3 linked regions of the Canis lupus familiaris genome follow. The protein of the gene in region 1 interacts with the protein of each later gene in a pairwise test. Links are inferred from orthologs where the notes say so. Each region holds a gene or a part of one and is shown in the gene's direction. Other genes may lie near its edges.

Region 1 (4,295 bases):
GGGTACAGACTGAAGAACCTTTTAGAGATTCTTGAATTCCTGGGGCATCAGAAAGCCCTAGGTCCGCATGATAACTGCAGCTCCCCAAACTGCAGAACTGGGGGTATAGCAAACTCTGCTCCTGCGTCAGGAAAGCAGGTGGACTTTAGTCGGGAATAGACTACAAATCCCACAATGCACACGGACGTTTATGAAGGCCACGCCGTGTTTAAGGTCCTCTAGGGACACGTGCTTGGGACTACAACTCCCAGAAAGACGCGCGTGGCACTGCGGTACTAGCTAACTGTAGAAGACCCCAAATCTCTTTTTTTCTTTTTTTAAGATTTTATTTATTTATTTATTCTTGATAGACAGAGATAGAGGGGCAGAGACTTAAGCAGAGGGAGAGAGGGGCAGAGACTTAAGCAGAGGGAGAAGCAGGCTCCACGCAGGGAGCCCGATGCAGGACTCGATCCCGGGACTCCAGGATCACGCCCTGGGGCAAAGGCAGGCGCTAAACCGCTGAGCCACCCAGGGATCCCTCTCTCTTTTTTTCTAGCCCCAGGAACACCACCCCTTATTTGCCGACAGCCGAAGGTCACCGGGAGCGAGTCCTCAGCCTCTCTCATGCTCTGGCTACTGAGGCGTCGCAGTGGCACAGATTGATGACAGGTGAGGGGCTGGGGGACCTTGGACTCCTGGGTTTTAGGGAAGAGGGAGCCAGAGCCTGGAGTCCTTGCTGGTCGGAGGAGTGTGAGAGCTGCTGGGAATCCTATGTCTGGATGAGAAGAGTGCCGTAGAGGGCTTGGGAGTTCCAGATCCCAGGCAGGAGGGGACAGGGGTTCAAGACTCCTGGGTCAGGGGGGCGGGGGAAGGGAGTGGGGCCAGACCTGTGGGTCTGAGGGAGGATGGGACTGGGGGCTCGACTCCTCGGTCTGAGAGGAAAGGGGTCCCCAAGTTTGCCATTCTCACTTCCCACTCGTGCTGTCTAGGTGGAAACTTGGACTCCCGAGGAGACCCTCTTCCCCCTGCGCCGCCGCCTCCGTCAGACCCCACCCCCCAGGGGACCTCGCCCCCGAGATCTCCAGTGGCTAATTCCCACTCAGCCGGGTTCTCCCGCGGAGGTGGGGAGCGCGGCGCAGGCCCCGCCTCCTGGGAGCCCACGTGGGAATCCGGGACCGCCCCCCCGGCCCTGACCCAGGAGGAGGGGGCGTGGCCTCTGCGAGTCACGCTGCTGCAGTCCAGCTTCTGACCCGCCCCAGCGCCGCAGCCAATCGGAGCGGGAGGGGCGTGACCCGGGGGTACCGCCCCGAGACGGGAGCCGCTCTCGGCGCCGGGGGGCGTGATCTGGTCCCCGCGGTGGCCTAGGGTGGGAGACGTTTCCAGGGCCAAAGTTTGGTTTTCCCAACACTTGTCCAAATTCGGATTAAAACTTTGAACTTTTAGTCAATAAATTTCTGTCTGTTTGGGGTTGTGACACTGGGGTCTCTTCAGGGCGGAGCTGGAGCCGTGGCCTCCTGCGTCCTGACGGTCTGAAACCTGTAGGTCTGGAAAAGGAGAAGCAGGGCCTAGATTCCTGGGTCTGAGGGAGGAGGGGGTTGGATGCCATAAATCCTGAGTTTGAGGAAGGAGGGGATTGGGGGCCCAGACTCCTGGGTCCGAGAGTGGAGGGGCTGGGGACCCGGACTCCTGGGCCTGAGGGTCTGAGAGTAGAGGGGCTGGGGGCCTGGGCTCCTAGGTCTGACGGAGGAGGGGCTGGTTGCCTGGGCTCCTGAGTCTGAGGGAGGAGGAGCTGAGGCCCCAGACAACTGGGTCTGAGGGAGGAGGGGGCGGGGGCAAACTTCCAGGCTTCTGGCCTTCCTGGCAACGCCCCCCCAGGGCCGGCCTTCCAGGATCCAGCCCCTATTTATGGTTCTGCTCCACGGCCTCACTGGACTGTGGAGGTGGAAAGAAGCAGAGTGAGTGACAGGGAGAGTCAGACAGAAGCAGGATGGCAACAGGGACGCGCTATGCCGGGAAGGTGGTGGTTGTGACAGGAGGCGGGCGCGGCATTGGAGCCGGGATCGCGAGAGCCTTCGGTGAGTAGGGGTCTGGCGAGTCAGGGTCTGGCTACTTGGGGAATATTAGAGATTGGGAGCGGAGGGACCCTGGGAACTAGTGGGTGTGGGAACTTCAGTACTGGAGTCAAGATTCTTAGCCTATAAAAACCCAATTTGCAATGTTAATGAAAGGGTTGACAGCCTAAGCCTGGGGCCTGAGCTTTTGGCAGTTCTCCAAAAATGGTTACTCTCTTTTTCTGGGTCTCAGTTATTCTATCTACAAAGTGGGGGTGGCTGGGGGAATGTGGCTTGCAGGTTTCGGGTTTATTCTGGAACCCAGGGATGGGGGCTCAGGAACCCCAGCAGGCACCTACAGTGGCCAAGGAGAATATGGGTCAAGTCTTCTGCCCTTTGCTCTAGAGGAACATCATGGGACTTTGGGGTCATGAGGGGAACGTTTGGAAAGATGGGCCCCACTCCAGGTGGCCACAGGAGGGCAGCAGAGGCCTTTGCCAAGATCTGTGCTGGAGTAACCTGTTTTTCCATTCTCAGTGCAAAACGGGGCCCAAGTGGTTATCTGTGACAAAGATGGTGAGTGAGCGTCCCTTGGTCCTCACCCCAGCCCCCTCCTCCCTCACACCCAGGAGTCTGGGCCCCCAGGCCCTTTCCTCTCTCAGACCCAAGAATCAGGACCCCAGCCCCTCCTCCCTCAGACCTAGGAGTCTGGACCCCAGCCCTTCTCTCCCTGCAGAGTCTGGGGGCCGGGCCCTGGAGCAGGAGCTTACTGGAACTGTCTTTATCCTCTGTGATGTGACCCGGGAGAAAGATGTGCAGGTGAGCTATTCTTGACCCTGTCTGGCCCCAAAGACTGCTGCTCCGGACTTTCCCTGATTCTGCTGGCCAGGTTCTGGGTCTCCTGCAAAGTTTCTCCTTTATCTCTCACTATGGAGCTCTTGTCACACCTGTCACATAGACTGGAACAACAACAACAAAAATCCCTCACAGTGGATCTCCTTCTGGAAGAGTCTTCCTCTCCCGCCTCTGGGATTCTATCCGTTCACTTCGGTCAATGTCTCTCTGATGTCCACCCTCTGCCCCCCACCCGGACACCAGGTCTCTGCAGTGTGAATATATCCAGCCCTCTGGTGATTTAGGGGAAGCCCCCACTTCCTGTAGCTCCCTTCACCTTGGCTGTGATCCACCTCCCCCTTTGCTTTTTTTTTTTTTTTTCCCCTTTGCTTTTGGGAGTCCAGGATCCTCAAGGCTGGGTGCCAGCCCTGCTCACTTACCTCTTTGTCCTCAGACTCTCATTTCTGAGACTGTCCGTCGTTTTGGCCGTCTGGATTGTGTAGTCAACAACGCTGGCTACCGTGAGTTGTGTGGCCCACAGGCCATTCTCCCTTGGTGTCCACCCACCTCCCCGCTTCCATCCCTTCCTTTCCCTCCCCCTCAGTTCCCCATCTGTCTTCTCCATCCCCTTTCCCATCCCCCTGTCTCCTTGGATGGGACAGTACAGCCCTGGAAGGCCCTGCACTGGGGCTCACATCCTGGCTGGTTCCATCCTGGCCTCAGTTCTTCTGTTTCTAGAATGGGAATGATGATCATGAACAACAGAGTTGTTGTGGGTATTAAATAAGATAAACTACTCGGCCTCATAATTATCACAAATATCTTGAAGAAACAGCTCCCATCTTGTGGTCTCAATTTGCTTATCTATGAAGTGATGGCAATGACCCTTCCCTTTGCTGATGACTATGAAGGTATCCTCATGAGTGTGGTTTTTTAGGTCCTCTTCAAGGTCCCCTTTGAAGGGGAAATGCTGTCAGTTTAACGACTTACCCTTCATAAGAATCTCTCATGTTGGTAAGCCAGGGCTCAGAGAGATGAACTGATTGCACTGAGGTCACACAGCAAGGCCTGTCATAAGAGTGACATCCTCTTCAGCTGCACAACGTGCCCCCCTGCTTATTGTTGGCTTTTTTTAAGATTTTATTTATTTATTCATGAGAGACACAGAGAGGGAGAGGCAGAGACACAGGCAGAGGGAGAAGCAGGCTCCATGCAGGGAGCCTGATGGGGGACTCCATCCCGGGTCACGCCCTGGGCTGAAGGCAGCGCTAAACCGCTGAGCCACCCAGGCTGCACAACCCTCCCACCCCCTCCACCGCTGCGTATTGGCTGGGCAACTTTAAGCAAGTGGCTCACCCTCTCTGGGCTGCATTTTCCTCCTTATATTGTTGTAAAGATCAAAGAGATGGCTAATACCAGTTCATCCTT
Region 2 (4,262 bases), on another chromosome or scaffold:
AAGGCGCACGAAGTAGGAAGGAACTTGGGGAGAGGGCGGGCGGAGGGTGGGCGAAGCACTGAGGGAGGGAGGTGAAGAAGGCAAAAGTCAAGCAGTGCGAGGGAGAGACGGCGGGGGCAGGTGAGGGCGGGGGGGCGGGGATGGGGCCGGGAAAGGGGCCGAGGACGCGGGGGGCAGAGGGTAGGGACAGCAGGGGAGGGGAGGGGGAGGGGCGGGGGGGCCGGGCCCTGCACTCACCGCGGCCCATGGCTCGGCCGGCCCCGCCCTGCGCAGTCGCGGCCCAGAGGGTGAGTGGGAGGGAGTGGGAGGAGGGTCGGCGGAGCCCGAGCCTCCGGTACGGCCCCGGCCGGTCCTAGCAGGAAGCGCCGCCGCCGCCGCCGCGGATCACCGAGCGGCCTCCCGCGCATGCGCCATGGGGGCCAGGGGCAGCCCTGGGGATTCCGTTCCCAGAAGGCACCGCGCAGGCTGCCGCCGCCGCCGCCGCCGTCGCTGCCGCCGCCGCCGCCGCAGCCGCCGCCGCCGCCGCCGCCGCCGCTGCCCGGACGGGAGAGGGGCGGGGCCGGGCCCCCGCCCAGCGGACAACGACGAGCCAACAGGAGGGGCCGCAGTGCGCATGCGGGAGCGCGCCTACCCCTCCCCCACAACCCCCCATTAATCCCCAAGAGAACAAACACCCCACGCGGCCCCCCCGCCCTCCGCGGAAGGATCTGAGCCTCTTCCCAGGCCACCGGCGGCCAATCCCAGCCCTCCCCGGGGAGGGGCCCCTTCCAAAGCCACAGTCTGTCGGGGGAGCCAGGAATGCCGGGTCCGGGAGGGGCCGGCCCCAAAAGATGAAAGTCGCGACTTGCCCTGCCCCGCCCCAAAGGCTTCCCGGGTAGTGTGCTGGGACTTGACCCGCCTCCCCAGGTCAACATGTCACAACAGGACCTCCGCCTGTCAAGTCACATGACCTCTGCCTGTCACTGACAACCTGGTCATGTCTTTGGGCCAGGAGAGACCATCTGGTCCAACCCACCCCCACCCCCATCTACTGAAGGGGAAATGGAGGTCTGGAGCAACGGAGCAGGCCCGGCCGAGGACCTGTCACCGTCACACCACCACCTAAACCTCCTTGCAGCCACAACCGGCCTTGTGACAGATTCTACTTAACTCTGGCTGCCCCCGTGAGGGTATGACAGTGAATACAACCGGCCGCCACATGGCATCTTTTTTCTCTCTAATGGCACAAGAAAAACGTTTGCATTTTAAGCGATGCTTTTCACTTTTGTTTAAGCTGCCTCCAAGTTCATAGTGCTCTCGTTTTACCTTCACAACTCGTCATCCTTTATTTACAAACAAGAACGGTTGTGGCACAGATATTAGGGGGCAAGTAAAGGGGCAGGTGAGGCCAGACTCTGGGCTCCTGACAACCCGGTGCAAGGCGGCTGCGCGCTCAAGTGCACCCAACGTCCCAGGCAACGAGGCTCTAAGGTCGCCCGAGCACCGAGGCGGCAGGCGGCGGGTGCACGGCTCCTCACGCAGGAGTCACAGGACCTGCGCGGCTGGTACAGCGAAAAGGGCGGGTCTTGATCCTTGGTGGAGGCACCAGAGTACGGGGGGGGGGGGGGGGGAGGCTGAGAATCGCGTCCACCGGGCCAAGTCCTGAATCCTGGCATGCTGAGCGCTCATCAGAAACTTCACAAAGATAAAAGTTAGGGGTGCTTTTCGGCGAGGAGCTGAAAATGACCATCAAAAGTACTCAAGTTCCTCGGCCCCTTCTGGGGGAATTAGGGAGCTAAACGGGATCTTTCTATGCGCCTACTCGAGGAGACGTTAGGCGGTCCTGTGGCTGCATGCAAACTTTCAAAAGAGATTGGCTTAGAAGACCTCGCGCCCACTAACTAGGAGGGGACCGAGCAAAATGGGAGCCCCCCATGCAGACGGCGAGGCGGGGGCTAACGCCAGGTGGGCGGAATAAGGGCGCCGAGGAGGACGAGCCGCAGCGCGGCTTCGCAGGCAGCCTGAGGGCGGCCACGGTTGGGAGCCGTTGGGGCCGTTGGGAGCCCGGCGCTGGCGCCCCGCCCTCTCCTCTCCCCCACCCCCCCGCACCGCCCACCACCCTCGTCGGCCCCTGCGCGTGCGCGCCGAGACACCGGTTGCCAAACATTGCATCATCCCCGCCCCCCTCTCCTCCCCTCCTCCCCTCCCCCCCAGCTCTCCCCTCCGCGCGCGCGCATGACTCACTCGCCTCCTCCGCGGAGCCTCGTGACCCAAAGCCACTTCCGGGTCCGACACCACCTCTACCCCCGGGCCGGCGGGAGCGAAGGGGGCGGCGCCGCGGGGGCTGCTGAGTGGCGGGCGCGGGGGGCGGGGCGGGGCCAGCGCCGGCGTGCCGCGCCCTGATTGGCAGGCTTGCGGGCCCGCCCCCGAGGGGAGGGCAGGGCCTCCTTAAAACATCCGCGCTCGGGCCTCCGAGGTCAGAGGCTTGAGTGTAAGGCACAGAGCGGATCATGTTGAAGATGAGCGGGTGGCAGCCACAGAGCCACAGTCAGAGCCGGAACCTGAGGAGAGAGGCGAGTACCGATCCCACCTGCTCTTTACCCTCTAGTCCTCGGGGATGCTGGTTGTCCCTTCGAAGTTGGGGCATCAGCTGCTCAGGATGCGGCCCCACCCGTTCCCCGACGAAGTTAGTGACAGTTCGAGGGAGGGACGGGGAGCATCCTTTATCCGGGAGTGGTGCTTACAGACCTCTCTTCCCTCGGACGGGAGCGGCGCCCCACCCTGCCCGGAGCGCGGGCCCGGCTCTGGGCCGTCGGGCTAAGGGGTCCGGATGCCCTCGGGAGACTCCCTGTCTTCCGCTGCTGCCCTAGGCCGCCTCCTTGGTCCTGTCCGGTGGGAGGCGGGGCGGCAGGACACTCCCCCACGCCGAGACGCCTGGATGGCTCTGGCTCACGCCCTTGCCGCCACTTTCCCACCAGCGGCCCTGCCCCTACCCCACCCCCAATCCTGTCTCAGCCCAGCGTCTCAGGGCCAGAGTGGCCACGTCGGTGGATGGAGCTCCTGGGTCCTGCACAGGACAGCCATTCCACACCCTAACGGAGAAGAGAACCTTAAGGAGACAGACTCCAGACTTTGGGAGGAGGAGGGATGCCAATGGCTAGGGAGCAGAGATGGGTTTTCCCATTCCCCCAGAGGTCCCGGGGGCCTCCTGCACAAGAGAGCATTCTGGATCCCTTAAGTGTGGGAAGCCATTTGGGGTCTCCCCAGTGTAGGGTCCTTCCGCAGGGATTTGTCCCTGCTGCTTTCCCCGCGTCCTGCCTCCCAGCTAATTTCTGTGTAACCGTTGCATCAGGCCAGCCCCCTGTTTGGCTCTGCAGCCCTCTGGCCTGGGGCCCCACTGCTGATGAAAGCGGCATCCCACACGCTGGAAGGCAAGGAGGGTCCCCCAGGGAGGACAGCCCTGAAGAGAAACACTCTGGGAGATATTGCATCTCCAGTCCCCAGGGCTGGGCAGCTGCTGCTCTGCCTCTGGGCTTCCTCCTCCCTTCCCTATGAGACACTGGGGAGAATTCTTTCATTCTTCACAAATTACTTATTACACACCTGCTATGTGCCACACATTTTAGGCCCAGGATGCATCTACGAACAAGGAAAAGACCTGTTCTCACAGAGCTTACATTTCGTGGGAAAAGGTGCACAGCGAACAAATATAGAAGTGCCAAGGAGAAAACCAAAGCATGGAAGGGTAGTGAATGCCCAGGATGTTTACCTTGAGTCATTAGAGATTCTCTCACAGAGGTGACATTTAAATGAAACTTCTGAAAAGAGGCAAAGTAGTAAGCTGTGCAGATTTGTGAAAGGAAGAGCTTTCCAGGAGAAAGAACAGTGAGAACAGAGGTCCTAAGGTGGGAGTGTGCAGAGTTTAGGGAGCAGGCCAGCTGGACGGACTAGAGGGAGAGTGGTCAATGAGAAATCCAGGGCAGGGAAGGAGATTGTGTGGGGCCTTCTAAGCCATATTAAGGACCTTTAGCCTTTAATATTCATGAACTTTAGTCCTTGAAGAGTTTTGAACAGACTGACAGGACCTGACTAGAGTTTTAAAAGGCTCACTCCAGGGATCCCTGGGTGGCGCAGTGGTTTGGCGCCTGCCTTTGGCCCAGGGCGCGATCCTGGAGACCTGGGATCGAATCCCACATAGGGCTCCCGGTTCATGGAGCCTGCTTCTCCCTCTGCCTGTGTCTCTGCCTCTCTCTCTCTCTCTCTGTGACTATCATAAAAAAAAA
Region 3 (4,023 bases), on another chromosome or scaffold:
ATTATTCATAATAGCCAAAAAATAGAATCAACTTCTTGATGAACAAACAGAATATGGTATATCACACAATGTAATTTTATTCAGCCATAAAAGGAAATGAAGTAGGTACAAGCAAAGTATAGATAAACCCTGAAGACGTTATGCTAAATGAAAGAAGCTAATCACAAAAGACCAGATAAATCTAACACTTATACTAAATCGACTTGTAAATCTTAAATCTACAGAGACTAAGAGAAGCGGTTGGGTTAGGGCTGGAAGAGTTGAGAGGATTGGGGGCCATAGCTCAAAGGTAAGAAGTTTCTTTTTGGAGTGGTTGAGATATTCTCAAATTGGTTATGGTGATGGTTGCATAACTCTGTAAATACACTAGAAACCATTGAATGAGCACTTTAAATGGGTTAAATATATATGATGTATGAATAATATACCAATAAATAAATAAATAAATAAATAAATAAATAAATAAATAAATAAATAACCAAGGCTCCTTATATGTCCTGTTCCATCCTTTCGAGTCTCCGAGCCATGGGAAAAGCTCCGCCTGAAGCTAGACAGTTCCAATCCTGCTTCTATTTCCTTATAGTTAACTCCTTCCTCAGTGGTACCATGGGCATGACAATCCTTGCCCGGGAAGGTCATGATTTTTAAAAACACACATTAGGGTTAATACCGTACAGTATCTAATACGTAGTTGCCTCTCAATACACACTATTCTAAGCGTGTACAGCACAATGCATGCGTATAAACACAAGAAGATGCAGCTGTTGGGGAGACTTTCTAACGACCCGGATCTGGAGGGCCGGGCGTGCCCGCGGTCTCCGCCCTCGCAGCGCAGGTCGCTCCAGCTTTGGGACGGTGAGGCAGCAGCGCAGCGCACGAGCCCCGGAGGCAAAGAAAAGCCCCGCATCCCGGGCCGAGCAACCGCAACGAACGGGCTCGAAGGGCGCACAGAGGCCGCCCCGTCTGGCGGAGAGCGATGCCACGGGACGGTGGGGGACGGGAACGCGACACACGGTACCGGGAGACCGAGCTCAGCCGACCGCTCGCCGCAGCGCCGCGAGCGGAGAACAATGCGCTCAGCCCTTCGCGCGGAAGCTCGCGGTACCGCGCCCGGGGGCGTGCCCGGCCCGGGGCCTGCTGGGAAATGCAGTGTCTGAAAGCCGCGCCCACGCAGCCCCGCCGCTCTTCGGACCGAGCCCGGTGCAACTACAAGTCCCATCACGCTCCGCGGCCTCTTGCTCGCCCGGCTTTTGCAGGGAAAGGAGTGGGGCGAACATGGCTGAAGGCACCCGGGGCGGCAGAGCGTGCGGAGGAATGGGAGGCAGGCAGGACCCGGTCTCCAGCAGCGGGAGCTGCAACTTCCCAGAGTACGAGCTTCCCGAGCTAAACACGCGCGCTTTCCATGTGGGCGCCTTCGGGGAGCTGTGGCGTGGCCGGTTGCGCAGGGAAGGGGACTTGTCGCTGAAGGAGCCTCAGGAATCCGCGCTGCCTGGGAGCCACGGTGTCGCGGACTGGGGCCAGGAGGATGCTGCGGTGGCCCGGGATCTGGGCTGCAGCCTTGAGGCCGCGGCCGAGCTGCGGACGGTGTGCGGGTGAGTGCGGTGCGGAGGGCCTCTTGCTGCTGGGAGCCGGCCTGGATGCAGCCTTGCTCCTGCGCTCCCCTGGGACTCCCCCTCGGGAGGGCCTGTGCGCGGACTCCCGGAGGTGGAAGGACCGCCCTTCCGAGGCGTTCCGCCTGCTCCAGCTGTCCTGGAACCCCGGGAGGAGTCCGGTGATCGGAATGCACAACCTCTCAAGTGGGAGCGGAGGGACGGAAGAGCTGCCTACAAAGATTAATTTTTCTACCGGTTAATTGTTTAAGTGCTTGCTAATATATAGAAGGGCGATCAGAGTAACGGCGGTGTGTAGCTGCCATTGAAAAGACACTTTGACAATGGAGGAGCCTTCGTAATGCTGAGCCAGCCTGGGAGGAAATTTAACCAGGGGAGTGTTAAAACCTTTGATTAACCGTGGTTCCTAATGGGGACCTCCGGGTGTGCAGTTACTGAAAATATCCCCCCCAAGGGCCTTTTATAGGGTGAAAATATTAAAAAAAATATTAAAAAAAAAGCTTTAACGATCTATTTAATAGTATCGGCCGCCATACATCAATCGGCCGTGTATCCTCTTTGTAGATAGACTATCGGCACAGATATCATTGTCTGGAATTCTGGCCGCATCTGAACCCCGTCTGCTGGATTTCACCTGACTTAATTGTTTAATGATGTATTTAGGACACAACCCTGATCGTTGTGGACAAGATGGATGATTGTTTTTCCTTTTTTGTTTGTATTTCAGCGTTGATAAACTCAAGTGCCTTGAGGAGGGCGAGGATCCGGATGTCGTCCCGGAGAATACTGACCTAGTGACTTTGGGGTATGGAAGGACTTGACTTTTATTGTGTGGTACTTATTTAAGACATCTTTCAACGTTATGTTATTCACAAGAGTACTTATTGTTATCACCCCACCCCCTAAATCCAATCATTGTTAACATTTGGCTGAATTTGCTTTTGCTCTGTGTGAGATACCTGCTGCAAGTCTTTTTCTATTGCTGAACCATTCAGTAAGTTTCAGACCTAAATACGTCAGCATATAGCTCCCCTAAGTATTATTCTCTTACATAAGCAGAGTGGTATTATTGCACCTAAAGGAAATTAGCAGCAAATACATAACTTCTAATGTCCATTCTGTATTCAGATTTGTGTTTATTTTTATATATTTTGTTTATTTTTATTTTATTTTTTTGTGTGTGTTTATTTTTAAATGTGTGTTTACAAAGGTACAGTTGATCTACTTAGATTCCAGTGCAAGGTGAAAACTCTGATAGTTTTTCAGACTTTTGTTTTCAGTTTCTAATTTTTGACAGATCCATATTTTTGTAAAAGAGGATACTAGTTAATTACTGGGAAAATGGAATTAAAAGACAAACACAAAAGTCCTTTTTTTAAGAACAAAGGTTATTATTACTATTATCTTTTGAAGATTACAGAGATTTTATTTAAGATGACTTTTCCCCCCAAAACCCTGAGATCATGATCTGAGCCAAAATCAAGAGTTGGATGCTCAATGAACTGAGCCATCCAGGTGCCCCTTGAATTTGGGTTTATTGAAGTATAGTTAACATACAATGCTTCATTGGTTTCAGATGTACGGCGTAGCCATTTGGCAGCTCTATATGTTCTATGCTCACCACAAGTGTAGCAACCATCTGTTACCACACAGGCTAGTAATAATACTGATTACATTACCATTGACTTTATTCTCTATGCTGTCCCTCTATCCCTATGATTTATTTATTTCACAATTGGAAGCCTGTACCTGTTACTCTCCTTCACCCATTTTGTCCCCCTCCCCACTTTTCCTGGCAGCTGTCAGTTTGTTCTCTGTATTTGTTTGGCTTTTTATATTCCACTATCAGTGAAATTATATAGTATTTGTCTTTCTCTATTTGAATTGTTTCACTTAGCATAATACCCTCTAGGTCCATTCATGTTATTGCAAATGGCAAGCTGTCATTCTTTTTTATGGATGAGTAATATTCCATTATACACCTCTTTATCCATTGATCTATCCATGGACACTTGGGTTGCTTCCATATCCTAGCTATTTTAAGTAATGCCATAGTAAACATAGGGATGCATGTATCTTTTGGAAGCAGTGTTTTTTTCTTTGGGTGACTACCTAGTTGTGGAATTACTGGGTCATATGGTATTTATATTTTTATTTTTTTCAAGAGCCTTCATACTGTTTTCCACAGTGGCGCCACCAGGTAAATTCCTACCAATAGTGCATGAGGATTCCTTTTTCTCTACATCTCACCAACACTTGTTATTCTTTGTTTGTTTGTTTGTTTTTAAAGCTTTTATTTATTTATTCATGAGAAACACAGAGAGAGAGGAGAGAGGCAGAGACATAGGCAAAGGAAGAAGCAGGCTCCATGTAGGAAGCCTGATGTGGAACTCAATCCCGGGACCCCAGGATC

The links. The genes of interacting proteins can lie anywhere in the genome.
Region 2: the proteins of HSD17B14 (region 1) and DDIT3 interact in binary tests that used the Homo sapiens proteins (3 or more experiments, as listed by UniProt). The two-hybrid records come from large-scale screens. The link is inferred for Canis lupus familiaris from reciprocal best matches to the Homo sapiens genes HSD17B14 and DDIT3.
Region 3: the proteins of HSD17B14 (region 1) and SNAPC3 interact in binary tests that used the Homo sapiens proteins (3 or more experiments, as listed by UniProt). The two-hybrid records come from large-scale screens. The link is inferred for Canis lupus familiaris from reciprocal best matches to the Homo sapiens genes HSD17B14 and SNAPC3.

What each region holds. Positions count from the first base shown.
Region 1 is NC_049222.1:108,190,614-108,194,908, forward strand, and holds the start of HSD17B14 (17-beta-hydroxysteroid dehydrogenase 14), read left to right. Parts: upstream 1-1,488; 5' UTR 1,489-1,520; intron 1,521-1,857; 5' UTR 1,858-1,969; coding exon 1,970-2,057; intron 2,058-2,570; coding exon 2,571-2,609; intron 2,610-2,769; coding exon 2,770-2,852; intron 2,853-3,321; coding exon 3,322-3,388; intron 3,389-4,295. Other genes in the region: PLEKHA4 (pleckstrin homology domain-containing family A member 4), read left to right, coding at 539-651, 972-1,231. UniProt on the Homo sapiens protein: Catalyzes the NAD(+)-dependent oxidation of L-fucose, yielding L-fucono-1,5-lactone, which rapidly converts spontaneously to L-fucone-1,4-lactone. Can also act on D-arabinose and L-galactose, with lower catalytic efficiency. Does not use NADPH.
Region 2 is NC_049231.1:1,963,473-1,967,734, reverse strand, and holds the start of DDIT3 (DNA damage-inducible transcript 3 protein), read left to right. Parts: upstream 1-1,442; 5' UTR 1,443-1,544; intron 1,545-2,223; exon of another isoform or gene 2,224-2,306; intron 2,307-2,402; exon of another isoform or gene 2,403-2,552; intron 2,553-4,262. UniProt on the Homo sapiens protein: Multifunctional transcription factor in endoplasmic reticulum (ER) stress response. Plays an essential role in the response to a wide variety of cell stresses and induces cell cycle arrest and apoptosis in response to ER stress.
Region 3 is NC_049232.1:35,760,277-35,764,299, forward strand, and holds the start of SNAPC3 (snRNA-activating protein complex subunit 3), read left to right. Parts: upstream 1-1,203; 5' UTR 1,204-1,275; coding exon 1,276-1,592; intron 1,593-2,337; coding exon 2,338-2,415; intron 2,416-4,023.